Drosophila melanogaster: one gene and its partners. The protein of the gene in region 1 interacts with the protein of each later gene in a pairwise test. Each region holds a gene or a part of one and is shown on either strand. Other genes may lie near its edges.

The links. Proteins that work in one complex are often made in the same cells at the same time.
Region 2: the proteins of ringer (region 1) and BomBc3 interact in a two-hybrid assay, tested with the Drosophila melanogaster proteins (one large-scale study listed by BioGRID).
Region 3: the proteins of ringer (region 1) and Acp26Aa interact in a two-hybrid assay, tested with the Drosophila melanogaster proteins (one large-scale study listed by BioGRID).

Annotation. Positions count from the first base shown.
Region 1 is NT_037436.4:16,354,119-16,361,841, forward strand, and holds ringer (ringmaker), read right to left. Parts: upstream 5,311-7,723; 5' UTR 5,181-5,310; intron 2,331-5,180; exon of another isoform or gene 2,187-2,330; intron 2,074-2,186; exon of another isoform or gene 1,973-2,073; intron 1,919-1,972; 5' UTR 1,912-1,918; coding exon 1,516-1,911; intron 1,250-1,515; coding exon 1,067-1,249; 3' UTR 628-1,066; downstream 1-627. Other genes in the region: Pdh (photoreceptor dehydrogenase), read right to left, coding at 20-163.
Region 2 is NT_033777.3:22,085,097-22,089,450, reverse strand, and holds BomBc3 (bomanin bicipital 3), read right to left. Parts: upstream 2,269-4,354; 5' UTR 2,249-2,268; coding exon 2,191-2,248; intron 2,134-2,190; coding exon 2,092-2,133; intron 2,023-2,091; coding exon 1,826-2,022; 3' UTR 950-1,825; downstream 1-949. Other genes in the region: BomT3 (bomanin tailed 3), read left to right, coding at 3,128-3,218, 3,586-3,848.
Region 3 is NT_033779.5:5,891,934-5,896,000, reverse strand, and holds Acp26Aa (accessory gland protein 26Aa), read left to right. Parts: upstream 1-2,104; 5' UTR 2,105-2,129; coding exon 2,130-2,163; intron 2,164-2,219; coding exon 2,220-2,980; 3' UTR 2,981-3,118; downstream 3,119-4,067. Other genes in the region: Acp26Ab (accessory gland protein 26Ab), read left to right, coding at 3,164-3,194, 3,256-3,497. UniProt on the Drosophila melanogaster protein: Male seminal protein which enhances ovulation in female Drosophila by stimulating the release of oocytes by the ovary following mating.

The DNA of each region.
Region 1 (7,723 bases):
TATGTGTAAAACAACCAACCGCTGCTCCAGCGGCCAGGAGCTGCTTGGACACCTGCAGTCCAATGCCTCCAGCTCCACCGGTCACCACTGCATTCTTGCCGCGAAAGGACATCTTGGTCTGGCTGATTCGTGTAGTAGTCGGTGGTATTCCTTGTGGCTTCATCAAGCACTGAGCTCCTCAGTTGCACTGCTGACTTGGAGCTGTAATGTTCGCCGCTTTTATACCTATTTCCCAAGGGCTATATGATATATCGTTGAGTGACTTTGGTTCGACTGCAATCAATAGCTAGTTTTCCACCTGCTCTGGGTTAGGATTATGCAACTTATGCCCATATATCAATTTCCATCCCCATCTGGTCGCTGTAGCGTTCAGTCTGCTTCACACCGCTCCGGTTTTTCGATGTCAGCTTTGCATCAGTGATAATGTCATTGTGTAGATAAAGCAATGATCTCTTAATAACTATCTTCCAGTGAAATCTTTGCTTTTAAGAAGGTACACATGTTGGGCATTTTTCAAAGATCTTACAATTAAATGTATATTTCGATTTACAAAACCATCTTAATTGCTTTAAAATTTTGGTTTTTTAAATTGTATTTCCTCCCAATACAAATTTTAGCAATGCAAATATTTTAAAGTGTATTTATTCAAGCAAAATTCTTGTGAAAACATAACATATATCTACATATGTATGTCGTATATCTTTGGTTTCCATATGTGATATTTAAATTTCTTTCACAAATTGTAATATTAAAAGTTTATCTGTTATCTTAAGACTACCAAACATGGGTTTGATTGCCATGAAATGTATATAAATTTGATTTGGATTTACTTTTGAACTCTTTTTGGGCCGCTTCAAAATTTTACGTATCAAAGGACAAAGAAGGATAAACAAAGTAAAGGAACTCAAAAATTATAATCAAAAATATAAGTTTATTTGTAAGCACTTAAATTATCACAAACTTATTATATACACAAAGATAAATTAGATTGGGAGACATTAACTAGGGAAACACAAAAGTTAGAAATACAGATTTATGAGAGGGTGAAAAACGGTGGTTACCCCATCTAGTGGGCATTGTCGTAGGTGTCCTTGTGCTGGTAGCCACTCACATATCCGGATCCATCGACCACGTTCCGTCTGCCCGCGATACCCTTGCCCTTTCCGGAGGCATCGAAACGCTCCTTGTGGGAACCGGTGTACTTGCTCGTATCCGTCAATCGATCCACGGCAGCTGCGGCTTTTCCAGCCTAAAAATGGTAACAAAATGTTGATTAGGTTTTCAATAAAGGCATAAAGTATATGGTTATGACTTTCAAAGGTTTAAAAAGATATTTTTTAAGAACTTCTGTAAGAAAACTACTTTAACAATTGATAGTTTAAATGAGTCAAAAAAAAATCATTTAAATTTTGTCATATCTAAATGGTCTTCTCGAAGTTCTTTACACTTTAAAATCAATCTTAATCATTTGACTTATATAGATCATATTTTTCACAACCAATTTATCAAACCCACCGAAACGGACACAACTCCTGGAGCTCCACAACTGGCCAACTTTTGCTTGATCTCCGACAGCTCCACCTTTTTCGTCTTGGCCAGATCGTCCAGGAATTTGTTGTAGTCGCTGAGCGAGATCTTCATGGCCTTGAACTTCTTGAAGTGGATGCCTGTATCCGTGGTGGTGATCTTCTTGTCGATAACTTTGGCCTGTTTCATCCACTTGTCACTCTGCGACAGCGTTATCAGCTTGCCATCGGACTTGGAGTCCCCGAACTTGGAGAAGGCCTTGAACTGATCCGAAAAGCTAACCTTGGGCTCATCCTCCAGCGCCAATTGGGCCAACTCGGTAGCGGGCACCTCAGGAGTTGGCGCTGGGGAGGGGCTTCCATTTGCTGCAGCTACCTCGGACATGGTGGATCTGAAAAATATATTTAATATTATATATATTTTTTTAACCTTTACTGAACCCTACAGGTGTTTTAATAGATGCCCAGTAATAAATAAACAACTACGGACAAAGAACCTTCAATTTTACAGATGGACTGAGGATCATTTATTATTAATAATATGCCTAGCCTGATAGGTCATTGTTTTGTTTAACATTTTGTAGTGGTTTCTTCCAACACGCAACTTTTCCGCTCCTGCGTAATCGGTTGACTACGGTTGTCACCTACGCAGTTCCTCACCTGTGGGCCACAACGCTCACCAACATTGCGGTGGGTCTTGTCCGTCACTGTCAACTATCTACATATGTAGGTGCTATTCCCAGACGTATCTTTGCGAACACCTTATCAGTACTTTACTCACTTCGCTTTCGCAATGATATCACAACCCATGCTGAACTGGACAAAGGCAAAGCTATACCCACCCAAAGCTAGGCCAAAGCTCTCTCAGCTAGATTTCGAGAGATGGAAATCTAAAGGCAAATTGGGAGAGACTCAATCATTAGATGGCGTCATCGGTTTGGGTCCCCCATCTCCCAACGCAGCTAATTATCGCCTTTTGGCAAACCCAAATACACAAAACAAATAGTCAACAGGTTTGGCTCACATGGGTTACTCTATGGGGGTCAGAACTTAGCGCTAGCTTGCTAGATCTTTTATGATTAGTCTCTAGCATGCAGTTATCATGGGTTTTAATAATCCTAAGGCGATATTAGGTATTTACGGTACAGCTATACAGTTATAGATATACCCTAAAATTATTAAAATGAATCACTTTTACGCTTATTAAAATAACAAAAAGAGCAATAAATATTTTACGCATCGCCAGAAATTCCTCGCTTAATTTGTTACCCACCGAACGTGGCATAAATTTGGATGATAATTTAGTTTTAAAATTGCTTGTAGCATAAATTGTCCTCTTGTTTACAGGCTACCCAACACGAAGTCGAATCCTCAGACCCATCCCCATCATTCCATAAACAGTAAATAAAACGTGAGCATTTATTGGCGGAGCCATTAATTACGCACCACTTAAGGTTGCAAGTTGGAGCCCCAGGAGAGATGGAAGCCGTTTGGGCAAGCATTTAATGCGGCGATAAGATGCGACTGCAACCAGTTTGGAGTCCTCTATCCGTGAGATATGATGCCACGGCTTGTGCCCGCACAGATGCGAATCGAAATCGAAGTGGACGGGCGGGGTAGAATCACCATGACCTTGATGCAGCCCGTCGAGCATGTCAAATACTATTTTACCACCCCCTAGCCCCATTCGCAATCCAAATCGAAAAATGAGTGCTTATGTCATCGCCTCATTACGCCGGCTCTTGATTACGCTGTTCTGGGATCAGCTTTGAATAGCTCTGGGGTGAGGCAATTTAATAGCCCATATTCCCCAGATAATCCATCGAAATGATCTATGTAAACTGAGTGGTTAATTGGGAACATTGCATGCATAGCAAGTCTGCCGGTCATTAATCATCTTATTGGTCTCAAGACCAGGGCCATTGAACTTGAACTCCGCTCAAGACGATACAAATTATCCGGTCCCAGTTCCCGGACAAGACTAATGGAACCCTTTACTCCGCCCCTACATGTAATTGGAAGCCATAAATACTCGGAAACAAGAAAAGTTGACAAACTACACCACAAAAGAAGTTGGAATATGCAAGAAGAGTTTTAAGATGGCAAAAAACAAGAGGCTATCGACTAGGAAATTACCTGTAAAATCAAAACTAATAAGAAATATCTTTAGGTTATCTATGGTGGCTTTCAAAATGCTTTTTTTCACAATAGAATTCATTTTGTAATATTAGTAAAATCAATCTTTTTTAACTACCATCAGCCAATGCAAATAGTTCGGATTGTTAGATCCAATTTTCTACACTAAGATTGACGTTATTAGTTTGATTTTTAATAGAAGCCCGATTGCTAATAATTTTCTGAAAGGTTTTACAAAAATCTAAATATTATAATTATTCGAGGGAAATACTAACAGTTTAAGATGATCGTAATCAATTTAAAAAGCGGAAGTATTAAATCATCGCAATCGACAATGGAAAGACTCATCCTATGATACCCTGATCAGACTTGGATACTATATTCACACAAAATAAATTATTTTCTTAATATTCTTTGGCAACTCAAAGTGCAGATACCCCTCGTGAAATGAATGGCAGAAAATCAGGCAGTCTGATGGGGAGCGTGGATAGTCTAAATCAGAAATAATCCGCTTGCTTGTCAGACCATAAATAATTCGATTCTTCTCATTTCCCATCTCTGTTTTGGATTCTTTCTCTGTATTTTCGATTTGGAGAACAAGTTCTCATCCAGCTCCAGTCGAGCATTGCGAATTCGTTGCCAACATTTTAATTAGTTTTCTACCAAAATGGTAAAAGTTAATTGGGCAATATATATGACATATGACCACAATTTGAATAGGAATATGAATGAATATTATAGATAGCCATTTTCGAAAAGAATGGACTTCCTGGAGAGGGGAACGCAATTATAAACCCAACCTACCTCAAGTGGACCGCTGGAAAGCGAATGGAGGAAGCGAAATTTGGGTCATCTCGATGTATATTTATAAAACAAACGACTTTGGGGGGAGAAACATGAAATACTGCACCACATATGAGTTTACGTGTGTTAATAAACACACAGAAATATTAGCACCTCGGACTGAATGCATAAATTAAAGAGAACTTTTATTTTGGGGGGAACAAAACAGGAAGTCATGGGCATTCTGATAGAGCACGCAACGCAATAGAGAAATCATTGACTTAGGAGGGGGACTTATGCTCGGGACATAATATGTGTATGAAATGTGTAGCTACATCACCACTAGCCCAGATGACATCACTGGGAGCTGGGAAACGCGCAAGCGCCAGTTTGGAGAAGGGGTTTCCTGGGGGGTCTCGGTACTGGAATTTCAGACTGATGATTCAAATGCACGCATATATACACACGGAAGCGGGGAAAATGCGCCTAAATCAGGACCTCCCAAAGGAAATCGAAAACAATGGTGCTCCCCAGGAACAAAAGAAAAGGGGAACGCGATGCGCGGTAAGTGGGTCAAAATCTGCTCTTGAAAATATGAACCTGCTACTCATAAAATGAATAAAAAAAATATCCTTGGCTCGGAGTCTGCTTATAGATGCAGGATACAGTAACATTTTAAAAAAAAAAATAAATCCAACGAACTAGATTATTTTTCTCGAAACGTTTCCAACTTACATTTGTTATTAAAAAAGTTCCAAAAATTCTTGAATATATTTCCAAAAAAATATTTGTTTTATTCCTCGGCTATTTTCCAATCACTTTAAGGCAAACGCGCGAATGCTGGCGATGTCGAAACTCAACTGTTTGGACAAATGCGCAGCCAGTGGCTAGCGAAGGCCCAAGCGGCGTATGAGTGATATTTTTGTTTTGAGTGAGCTTTCGCTGAGTGAAATAGAAACTCAAAAAGGAAAATCCTCCTTAGCATTTTATCCAAAGAAAAGATGGCAAATCGTTGGTGAGCTAACATAAATTCCAAAACTTTCTGAATGAGATAAGGAAAACGATTTGGATCTTATAGACACTTTTACTGACCCCCCAATTTTTTTTCAAGCGATGACTTCATTTCGCAAAATTTTATACACGAAAACTAACAACGAAAGCCACACGACGAAGCCATTTATCAGAAAGAAAAAGAAACAAACGAGACCTAAAAACAACTCAGAATAACAAAAGTGACGCTACACACCAGAATCTTATCAAACCAACAAGTTACACTCAAAATTTTGGTTTGTTGTGAGTGAAATTCTAGGGAATAAAGCTTAAAGCTTTTCCTGATTTTATATTGTCTAAAGAGAAGGGGAGGGGTTCGCCACACAGTCTGAGCTACTAAAACAGTGAGTTTGTAGTCAGTAAATTTGTTTAAGCGCAAAAAAACAAAAAACGATGCGTGAAATTGTTGGGCAAAAAACACACACAACAAGTGCCAGACAATTCGAATAATGAAGGGTGTATCTTTTGGGCTTACTTAGACGTGTTTTTGGGGTGTGACTTGGGCTATACTAACCAGTGAGCTCATGCTTAGCTATGCAAATGAGTACTTATTTCAAGCGGTTAAGATTTGTCGACCGCCTTACTAGGTAAATGGGTTCTTTGAACTTTTCTATTTTGGACATTCAGGAAAAAGTAAAAGTCAAATAGGAAATCATAAGGAAATTACTTCGCACTCCATAAAATGATTAAACACATACTGAAACAACAAGCCCGTCCTAAACCCAAAACAAACCCTAAACGAACGAAAAAAAAACCTTTGACATTGATTTATGAGAACTGACGGTCGGAAGAATTTGGTAAGTTTTTGTGGCCAACTCGATGAAGTCATAGCCCTGGCCCAAAACCAAAATACAAAGCAACTGAAAGACTAACTTGGAAAACGAAATACCCTGAGGAGACTTCTAATTAATTTCGTAAATTAAGCATTAGGTATTACAAACAGAGGTCCATTGATTATTATTATTTAATATACAATGTTTGATATGTAATTTAAATATTTCATTCTACAATATTCATTTAGTTTATTGACCAGATGACGTTTAGAATATTCTTTAATTAAAATTAGAAAGAGTTAAATTTCCTATATTTATGGAATGTTTTACAGCTGAAATACCTTTTAGACTGATTCGTTTGCTCTTTTTTTCTAGGACATAAAATCAAAGTACTCCCAGTCCTGAAAAATGAAAAACATGATTCTTGCCACCTGGCCTATCTTAAGTGCACCTTTAATTAGCCACGAAGGCAGTTCAAAGAACCAATGGTGGTACACAAATCAGGGCACAGTCCACTCGAGACAGAACAAAGGGAGTGAACCAAGTGGACCGGACTATATTGCCAATCCAACTTCAATTCCAGGCCAGAACTAACCAGCTCATTAAGCCAGGCTGGAATGGTTGTAGAGAATTGGGCTTTGATTGAAACTGAGTGCCAACGGGGCTAACATTAAAACGCACTTATCAGCCGAGCCGTCAAGGCCAATCCAATGTGGTTCTTGCAGTTGCTCCTCCTCCTCCTCCTAATCGGGAGCGAAGTTTAAGCACCAGAGATCTGAGGCATCCGATAAGCCCGCTGCTAAAAATAAAAATGACCAGCGAAGGAGGAACAGGAGATACCAATGCAGCTGCAGTGCATCAGAGGCGGATGGGAAACATATTCTTAGGGGGTTTTCTTAGTGTCCGGTTGAAATAAGTATATATCTTCAGTGTATACTATAAGGTGTCTAAAAATTCACATTATATTATTTATTTAGCGGACTTAACGATTTAATTAACCCTTTTCTGTGTCATATTTGTAAGCTCTTCGCATAAAACATATATTTCTTATGTACATACATATGTATCTAACCAAGTATTATAATTTTTAAGGGTACTTATGACCCCCCTAAGACCCCCATTTTGTTCGCCACTGGAGTGCATGACTCCCGTGTCCAAGCTGTGGCCAAATGTGGCCCTTGGCCTTCACTCACCTTGAGATGCCGTTGTTGTCGTCGTCGGTTGTTGCCACAGTTGTTGCATTTGCTGTTGCAGTTGAAGTTGCTGTTGTTGTCGTGGCCCCGTTGCAGTGTGCGAACAAAAAGGAGGCTGAGATGCCACAATGCTGTGGCAGCAACAACGATTGCATATCAATTACACGCTGGTCTGGATGCGGTCTTTGGCCTTGATGGTCCACCCAGCCAAGGCCCTTGGCTCGCTTGCAGATCCAGATGCAGATGCAGATGGAGATGCCAG
Region 2 (4,354 bases), on another chromosome or scaffold:
CAGAAGAGCGACTTTATACAAGCATTGGCGAGTTGGGGGTAAAATATAATAATTAAAGCTATGTAAATTTGCTATGCGGCCGGGATTTTCAAATAAAGCTCAACCAGTGGCAGATATAAGAGTTTCCAAGCACGTGACAATATTACCAAAGGCGCTGCCCCCAGGGCAAACAACATTGGTGTACAAATAAATCAATTCTGCCTTCTGGCAAAACACTGCGGGGGCGAAACAGAAAAAAGTTAAAATTTATTTGAAAAGCGTGAAGGAGATGGCCACTGCTGCCACAAGTCCGATCGGCTCACCTTTCACCTGCCCCAGAAATTCCCCTCTAATGCCGCACAAATTAGGCACAAGAGAACAGAAATTGACCTGAAATCAAATACAAGTCAACATAAATTCAATTTCGAACATTCCCCAGCTCAAGGTCCTTAAGTTGCTAGGCAGATAAACCACCCTGTTCTGGACTAGGACTGAGTTCCTCAGCTTCATGGGGCTTCTAAAGTTGCGTGTAAACAATTTGTGACCCAAAAAGATAGGAAACGACACATTTCTGCCAATAAAGTGTATTAAAAGTAAATCAGAGAAAGTGTATCGAAACCCTTTACGATTGGTATGGTTATGCCACCCAAATGTTCATTGAATTTTAAGCCAGTCGAGCGTTTTTCTGAATTTAGCACATCCGCAAGGGCAGTCCATTGATTTCAATGCATTGTATTTTTTTTTAATTGCAAATAAAGCTTAGGTTTTTATTCTTGGATGTCCGGGAATCAATACTATTCTCTTAAGTTATACGCTTAAATCAAAATTGTATGATTGTTAAGTAATCCTTTTACAATTTTAATTGTTTTCGCATGCTAAGCCTGAATGAAACTTTTCCCTTCTTATTCTGTATATAAAAACACAGCATCAGTTTTATTCGAAACTTCTGCACAAAATATTCTTGGGAAGTGTGTGTGTGTGTGTGTGTGTGTGTATGCACTAAGTGTTTACTGTTTGTCGAGTAGTTAGTTTCAAAGCAAATATTTGAGAGGCTTCTGTTTGCCGTTCCTGCAGTAGCATTACGTATACGCCACGTGGCACGCGCAACCTTAAGCACCCTTACATCAGGCCAGCGTTTTCATTGACAACACATCCACTGGCGTAAATTGCACGGTTGGTTACTCGCATTTGATTATCGATGCTGTGCAATACTCTGGAGACAGCGACGTCAGCTCCCAGCCCAGTTTATGTGGCAACTAGCTGAAGTTCAAACAATCGATGCCATTGGCAGCACGAATTTCTCTATTTTTCCGTCACAAAATCCGTGGGTCTTCCCTTATTTGCAGACTGTTTTGAAACCAAGGCTTTTGAAAATGTAACGCTTTTGTATCACTTATTTTTGAGAAGGATGAGAGAAGCCAATGTTCACAAACAGACAGCTCGCAGTGCACGCAATGAGGTACTGGAAATCGTTAAAAAAAATTCTTATTTTAAATGTGAAAAATTTGATTTTCAGGACTGAATATTTCGACCAAAAGCAATTATAACATTCTTCACGCTTTTTTCGCAGCATAAAATAACTCGGATGTTTCATGTTTCTCCACGTGTACTTCGTGGTAACAAAAACTGAATATAAAACGCTCATTTTTCCATTTTTTGCCTCCATCAGATGATGCCCTCTGCACTCGAAACCATCACATTCATCGAATTTGCAGAGAGACTGGGTTGAACGATTGTCAATGCTTTTAGCTAAATGATGTTGTACATAGCCAAGTGTAAGTATGAAATGGATTGATCGATATGTGCGCAATTTTAATTCAATATTCAGACTTTATTGTTTAAGCCTTTAATAGGGATCCACGTTGCAGTGCTGACATCTGCCATTGACGATGGTATTACCACCCCTCCGGTAAATGGTGCCACCTCCACCGCCACTACCGTCATTTCCACGGGAAATGACCACATTACCATCGCCAGGGGATGAGGAGAAGCTGCGGTACTGCTGGCCATCCAGGTAGACGGGTTCACCATTCGGATTGGGACCTTTTCGAGTGCATATTATTATTCATTAAGTTGTCCAATTGCCTAGCTGGCAAAACAATCGCAACTTACAAGTCAGACAGACGCCATTCACCACCACTGTGCTGGGATGAGCTGGAAATAATTTCAGTGTGTATCAATTAGCGTCAGCAGCAATCCCGTCCAGCTTACCGCCGATCAGAGTCGGAATTAAAGCCAACGGGAGCAGCACACACGTCAGGTACTTCATATTAAAGCCGATAGATAGATGACCGTATCGACTCTCACGCTACTTATATAGTCCGGCACTTGATTCGATCCGAATCAAAATCGATTTGCATAAGCCTAAGCGTTTGGAGCTTTCGATTTGTATTTGAACAATATATTTAAATTAATTTCACACTAGAACACTATCAAATCGCAATTCGATGGGGTTTTCCGCACACGGTTTTGTGGCATCAGGTCGACGTAGTTGATTTCCTTGAACTTCTTCAAAGAAACTTATGACAGTCACGCCCCGAAAAGTCGGTTTACAATTATTCCCAGACGTAAACATGAATGGCAAGCGATTCCAGAGAATCGCACACCATTAAATTTTATCCATACATCTAAGGAAAACTGGTTACAGAACCGAAAGTCGTGACTCGTGAGTGAAATGTAGAAGCTTTAGTTCTAAAGCTAACAATTTATATTTAAATAATAAGATACTTAATACAATGAAAAAGCAAAAAATATATTTGAAAACAAATACATTTCATTAAAAATAAATCTTTGCAACTTTGTAGAAATGAAAAGTGTCTGACTTATTATAGATTTTACAGATTTTGTGTATTTGTTATGTTAAAAAGGTAACGTAGAGTATCTTGAATGCAATACGACTGACCAACTGATGCGCTACAGATTGTTTTTGAAACCCATCCGCGGGCAATTCCCTGAGATTAATACTTAATACATACGTAGTGGTTTGTTTGCACAGCAATAGTTCTTTGCAGCGATAAGGTCTGTTTGGGTTTGAATTCGAATTCAAATTCAGTATCGGAATCGGAATCGATGAGTGCATCGTATATAAGCTGCTGTTGCGGTTCGTACCTGGTCCAGACCAGTTCGACGTTCTAATAGACCAGCCACAATGAGAACCTTGACGGCATTTGCGATTATCGCTTTTTTTGCACTGGCTCTAACGGAGGCGGCTGTTTACATCGGTGGCGGTTGCTACGACTGTAAGTCAATGCCTATTAATTTGGGCCATTTATTCAAAAATTGTTCAACGATTTTCGTCGCTGCCACATCAGGCATAGTTTAAAAGGAAATTTTGTGTTTTCATTAGCGAAAGTTTGAATGAACAATCAATTTGTTATTATATTATGGTATTTCTTGGCAACGAAAGTCATTAAGTGATTATTAACGATACTCTAAACATTTGTTATTGGTTAAGTTTATGAATAATATAATTCCGAACACTTAGCTTTAAGCTTTTAATTTCTATAGCGCATAGTACATTTGCTGGCTTGCGTAAAAAATGCAGTAGCTAGCGCGCAATTAAGTAACTACTACTCCTCAAGAAACTGATTTAAATATCACTATTAGGTAATCCACCCGGAGGCCAAGGACCTGGAGTCTACACAGGTGGCAACGGAGGACGAGGAGGAGGAGGTGGATACAACGCAGGCGGAGGCGGTGGAGGATACTACAACGGCGGCGGAGGTGGAGGAGGTGGCCGTCGTCCAGTATATTCGGGCAACTTTGGACCCGGCTATGGTAACGGCGGAGGAGGAGGTGGAGGAGGCTACGGAGGCGGCGGTGGAGGTGGCTACGATGATGGCGGTCTTACGCAGATTATAAGCGGCTGAGATTATAATCTCGAAGCTTTGCTAGCGCTAAGCGCGAAGAGCAAGCATCGTCTGAAACTTAGATTATATAGACTTAAATAAAAAAAATATATATTTTATCAGCGGTGACTACTTTTATATACTTACAGAATGAGCTTTTGTTAGGTTTTGTTAAAGGTTAAAAACAAGTCCCTCTGTTAAAGTAAAACTAGTGAATAAACTTATCAAATACTCAGCTAACGCTACTAATAAATGGCATGCCACCTATAGCTTCTAAAAATAATATCCTTAATTCCTGTGCATTTTATAATTGGTATTCATTGTAATTCAGTTCAGACACGTATAAATGAGTAGCAACTGTTCAAGAGTGATGATTAATATACCCTTAAAGCCATAAAACCGACTGTGCTGTTCGGTTGAAGGAGTCAAAGTCCTGCAAAGGAAATAATTCATAAGCTCTTCAAAGTTTCAGCCATCCTGCTTGTCAGTCTTAATTAAAGGACTTGCCCTGGCTAAATATGCAAGGG
Region 3 (4,067 bases), on another chromosome or scaffold:
ATGAAAATGTTGTTCGGGCATCAGACCAGAAGCTGTGAACTTCTCCATGTCTGATATACTTAGCTAATAAAATCTGTCAGTTAAGTACGGTAGGATATGGTTGATCACTAGGAAAAGTCAATTAATGCATCACTGATATCTGGAAAGGGTCAAAAAGGTATGGTACAGGAACTGCTGGCTGTGCCAGCTTCCACCGGAAAATATTTGCTTCCGTTCTTTGCCGTGTCCATTCTGTGGGATGGAAAATAAATTACAATTAAATGCAACAAACATGCAACACTCACTTACTCACTGCGGAACGCGGCGGATGTTTATTATCAAGTGGATACAACGGCGACAACCTCATTAGCTTCTGCCCCTGGTCGGTGCCCATCGATGCCATGGCTCCCATTCCCTATCCCATTCCCTCCATCCATCGCCCTTTTCCAGATCGAGCGACAGTAAAAGTGGCCCGGGCATGCTAATCCGGAAGTAGGTCATTTTCCGAACGCAAATGAAAGCGTGAGCTCAGCTCGAACTCGGGCTGAAAAGCGATGAAAATCGTAGTGATGAATACATATGTGTGCCTGCTGCGAGTGGGATGCGCTGCCATGGGAAATTGAAACCGAAAACTTCAGTGGAAAGCGAGCTTCAAATGGGAGTCGCATGCACAGAGCCACTGTCATTATAATACGGCAATCAAAATGAGAAATAAGACATAAGATTTGTATGCGAATGGTGTGACTGGGAATAAAGAAGGCTATCTTAAAGTTACTATGAAAATCATCTAACGACGTTAATAAACATAATCATAACTTCATATAGTAAGATGTGCATTTGAGATTTCAAGCCATACTAGTTAAATTTTCTTTGTTCTATTTACTTTTTGAATATAAATTATAGTATGGTTAAGTTTTAAATAGTTTATTTCTCATCAAGATTAGCTGATGAATTTTTCCACTTAATTGAATTTTAAATGCGCAGTTATCTAAAATATGTTGGGTTCCGTTCTCCTTCTAAGGTAAATTCCAGTTTGCTGTCCGTATAACACCATTCTTGACCAAGATTACAAGGCATTTACAAGGCATAAAGACTTTTGACCATTTGTGGAAAGCAGCGGCCATTTAAGCAGCGTTCCGTAGACACCACGCAAAATGCGAGCAACTTGCGCATAAATCGCTATGTTTTAAACAATTAACAGTGGCCACCTACCCAAAATGGGGGATCCAAAACGATTCACAGAGTGACCGATCGCCCACGAGATGGCCATGCCTCAGTTTTCTGAATCCCACGTTCAATTTCGCTTTCAATTTGACGCGTGCGCAGGCGCAACCTTTCAATTTACATATGTGGACATGTGGGCGAAATTTTAGTATAATTTTTTCTCATTCTAGCCGCTCTGCGGATGCTGAAAGTTTTTTCAATTGCAGTTTCACTTTTAGCTAAAGACAATGGTTCGTTTTTATGATCTGCTTTTTTTTTATTTTTCTTTAATTTGGCTTGGGAATTGCGTTTGCATCGGTAACACATATATCGTGACTTCAATGATCTCAGATATACATTGCCGGATTTTATGTAATTAATTATGTACAGCATCTATAACTACATAGCAACTATTTTAAGGTATAGTAAAAACATATTTTGTATAATTAACACGGTATTTTCCTTAATCGACCAGCAATTCAAAGAAACCAACACTTTTCTCGCTTTTATATTGTTGAAAACCATGTTAAATTGATTGTCTAAGAATTTGATATTTACATATATTATTTCAATAAATACTCGACTATGGCATTTTTCTTTGTATATTTGTTTGAACTGCGTAAGTCTTAAAATTGTTAGCCTCGACTAAAGCACCCGATGCCAAGAAGAATCTTATAAAAAAAACCGAAGATATCCGTCCGGAGGCCAGAAAAATGTATATATCTTAATATCTAGAATACTACAGGACTAAAATGTATATTCAACGAATATTTATATATTTTGATGATGTTTTTTTTTTTTTTGAAAATTGCAATACTACAAGATCATATTTATAAATATCAAGCAGAACGAAACAAGAGCCGTTGCAAAAGCGCTTATGTAACATGAAATTCGTATATATAAGGAATGCAATAATACCTTACTTCAGCTGAAGCCACTTCTTCGAAATGAACCAGATTTTATTATGCTCTCCAATTTTACGTAAGTTGACTTATGCATTTTTGAGCACATTTAAGAACGAGTATCTTTTCGTTTAGTGCTGCTTTTTACAGTGGCAAGCTGCGATAGTGAGCAACAACTCGATTCAGCTATGCACCTGAAAAGTGATTCTACGAAAAGTGCATCTCTGAAAAATGTTGCTCCCAAGAATGATGAGACACAGGCCAAAATAGCCAAAGATGATGTAGCTCTGAAAGATGCGAAAAAGGGCGATTATATAATGGATATCGATATTTCTGATTTGCCGCTGGATGATTATCCAATCAATAGGTCCAAATCACTAAAAAGCTCTTCCATTGACTTGAATAATATTCCTTTCAATAAAGGACTAGATGATTTCCCGGCAAAAGAAAAAAATCAAGGATCCAATCAAAGTGCGCTCAAGGCCCTGCAACAGAGGTTACTAACGGAGCAGAACAATAGTTTACTTCTCCGGAACCATTCCATATACTTGATGAAAGAAATAGAGGCCAGAAAAACGGATATTATCAAAGTACGACAGTTAAACCTCGATTTAGAGCTCGAGCTAAATACTGTGAACCGCAGACTTTTGGAATTGAATGGGCAACTGCAAAACACTCGAAAGTCCACAAAGCCGTGTAAGAAACGTTCTAGTAAGGATAGCGCCCCACCTGCCGCCAATCAGTTTCAGGAAGCCAACGTCAGGAACACTTACCGTAACAAATATCTAACACTTCTGAAAGAACTTAGTCAGAAGATCAATAACGAAATCGCGAAAGTCGCTACCGATGTACCCACGGAGACAAATCCTTCCCAAGGGAATCTACCAACACTTTAATAGTTAAAATCATATGGTTTCCCATCATTTAAGAACAGAAACAATAGTATTGAGTCATTGCAAGACCTTCTAATTGCGCACTTACTTATTTTTCTGATCTTGTTAGCCGTAATAAATGCGATTCATAACGCTTAGGCCAAGTGCTGGTTGGATTCTTTACAGTCTAGAGAATACGTTTCCACAATGAACTACTTCGCGGTGATCTGCATTTTCTGTAAGTTCGTAAGGATCTTCGAGGTTCTTAGAGTTTGCCTAATTTAGTTTTCATCACTTAGCCTGCATTTGCCTTTGGCAATTTAGCGATGCTGCCCCCTTTATAAGCGTTCAGTCTAGTTCACAATCAAGATCCCAGAAAGTGATGAATGGCATGTTGAGAACCCTATACGACTACAGTGTTCAGGATAGTGTGAACGATGCGACTGGGCATTTGATACAAACTCACAAAGCAGACTTCAACTCGGATGTCATGAGTCCTGATGAAATAGAGAGTGTGCGCCAGCAACTGAACATGGCATAATTTTGGATTCACCAGCAAATATCTTAAACAGCGATTATTGCATATGCTTTTTAACCGCAGTTACTTCAAGCAAAATATTATGTATCTATGCAATATGTAATATATCATTTAAAAGATATAATAACCCAAATAAAGTATTTACCATATTATAATGGACATGGACTCTAAGAAGCTTTTGAAATAAGAGTTCCGATATTTTCCAAAGCTGTGATAAAATTGTATTTGAAATATAGAGTGGGGTATATGGTATTTGTAGTTATACATATAAAATGTTATACATATAAATGCAGACGAAAGGACATAAATATAAAATACATTTTAGACATAAACTCGACCTGTGGGTCATAAAGATTCGTCTAGCTCAACTTTCACAAATATGGGATCAGTAATATGCGATACTGTGGCGCCTCTTTAACATAGTTTATACATTTGGTCAGGTTCTTTTGGTTTTTGGCCGACATTTACCTGCTTTTAGCTACCTGTGGTCCCCGTGGTGATTTGTTCGTCTGCCCTAATTTCCACGACAAAAGTAGAGTGGAATTTCGGCCTTAACTGGAATTCTGTAAAGGT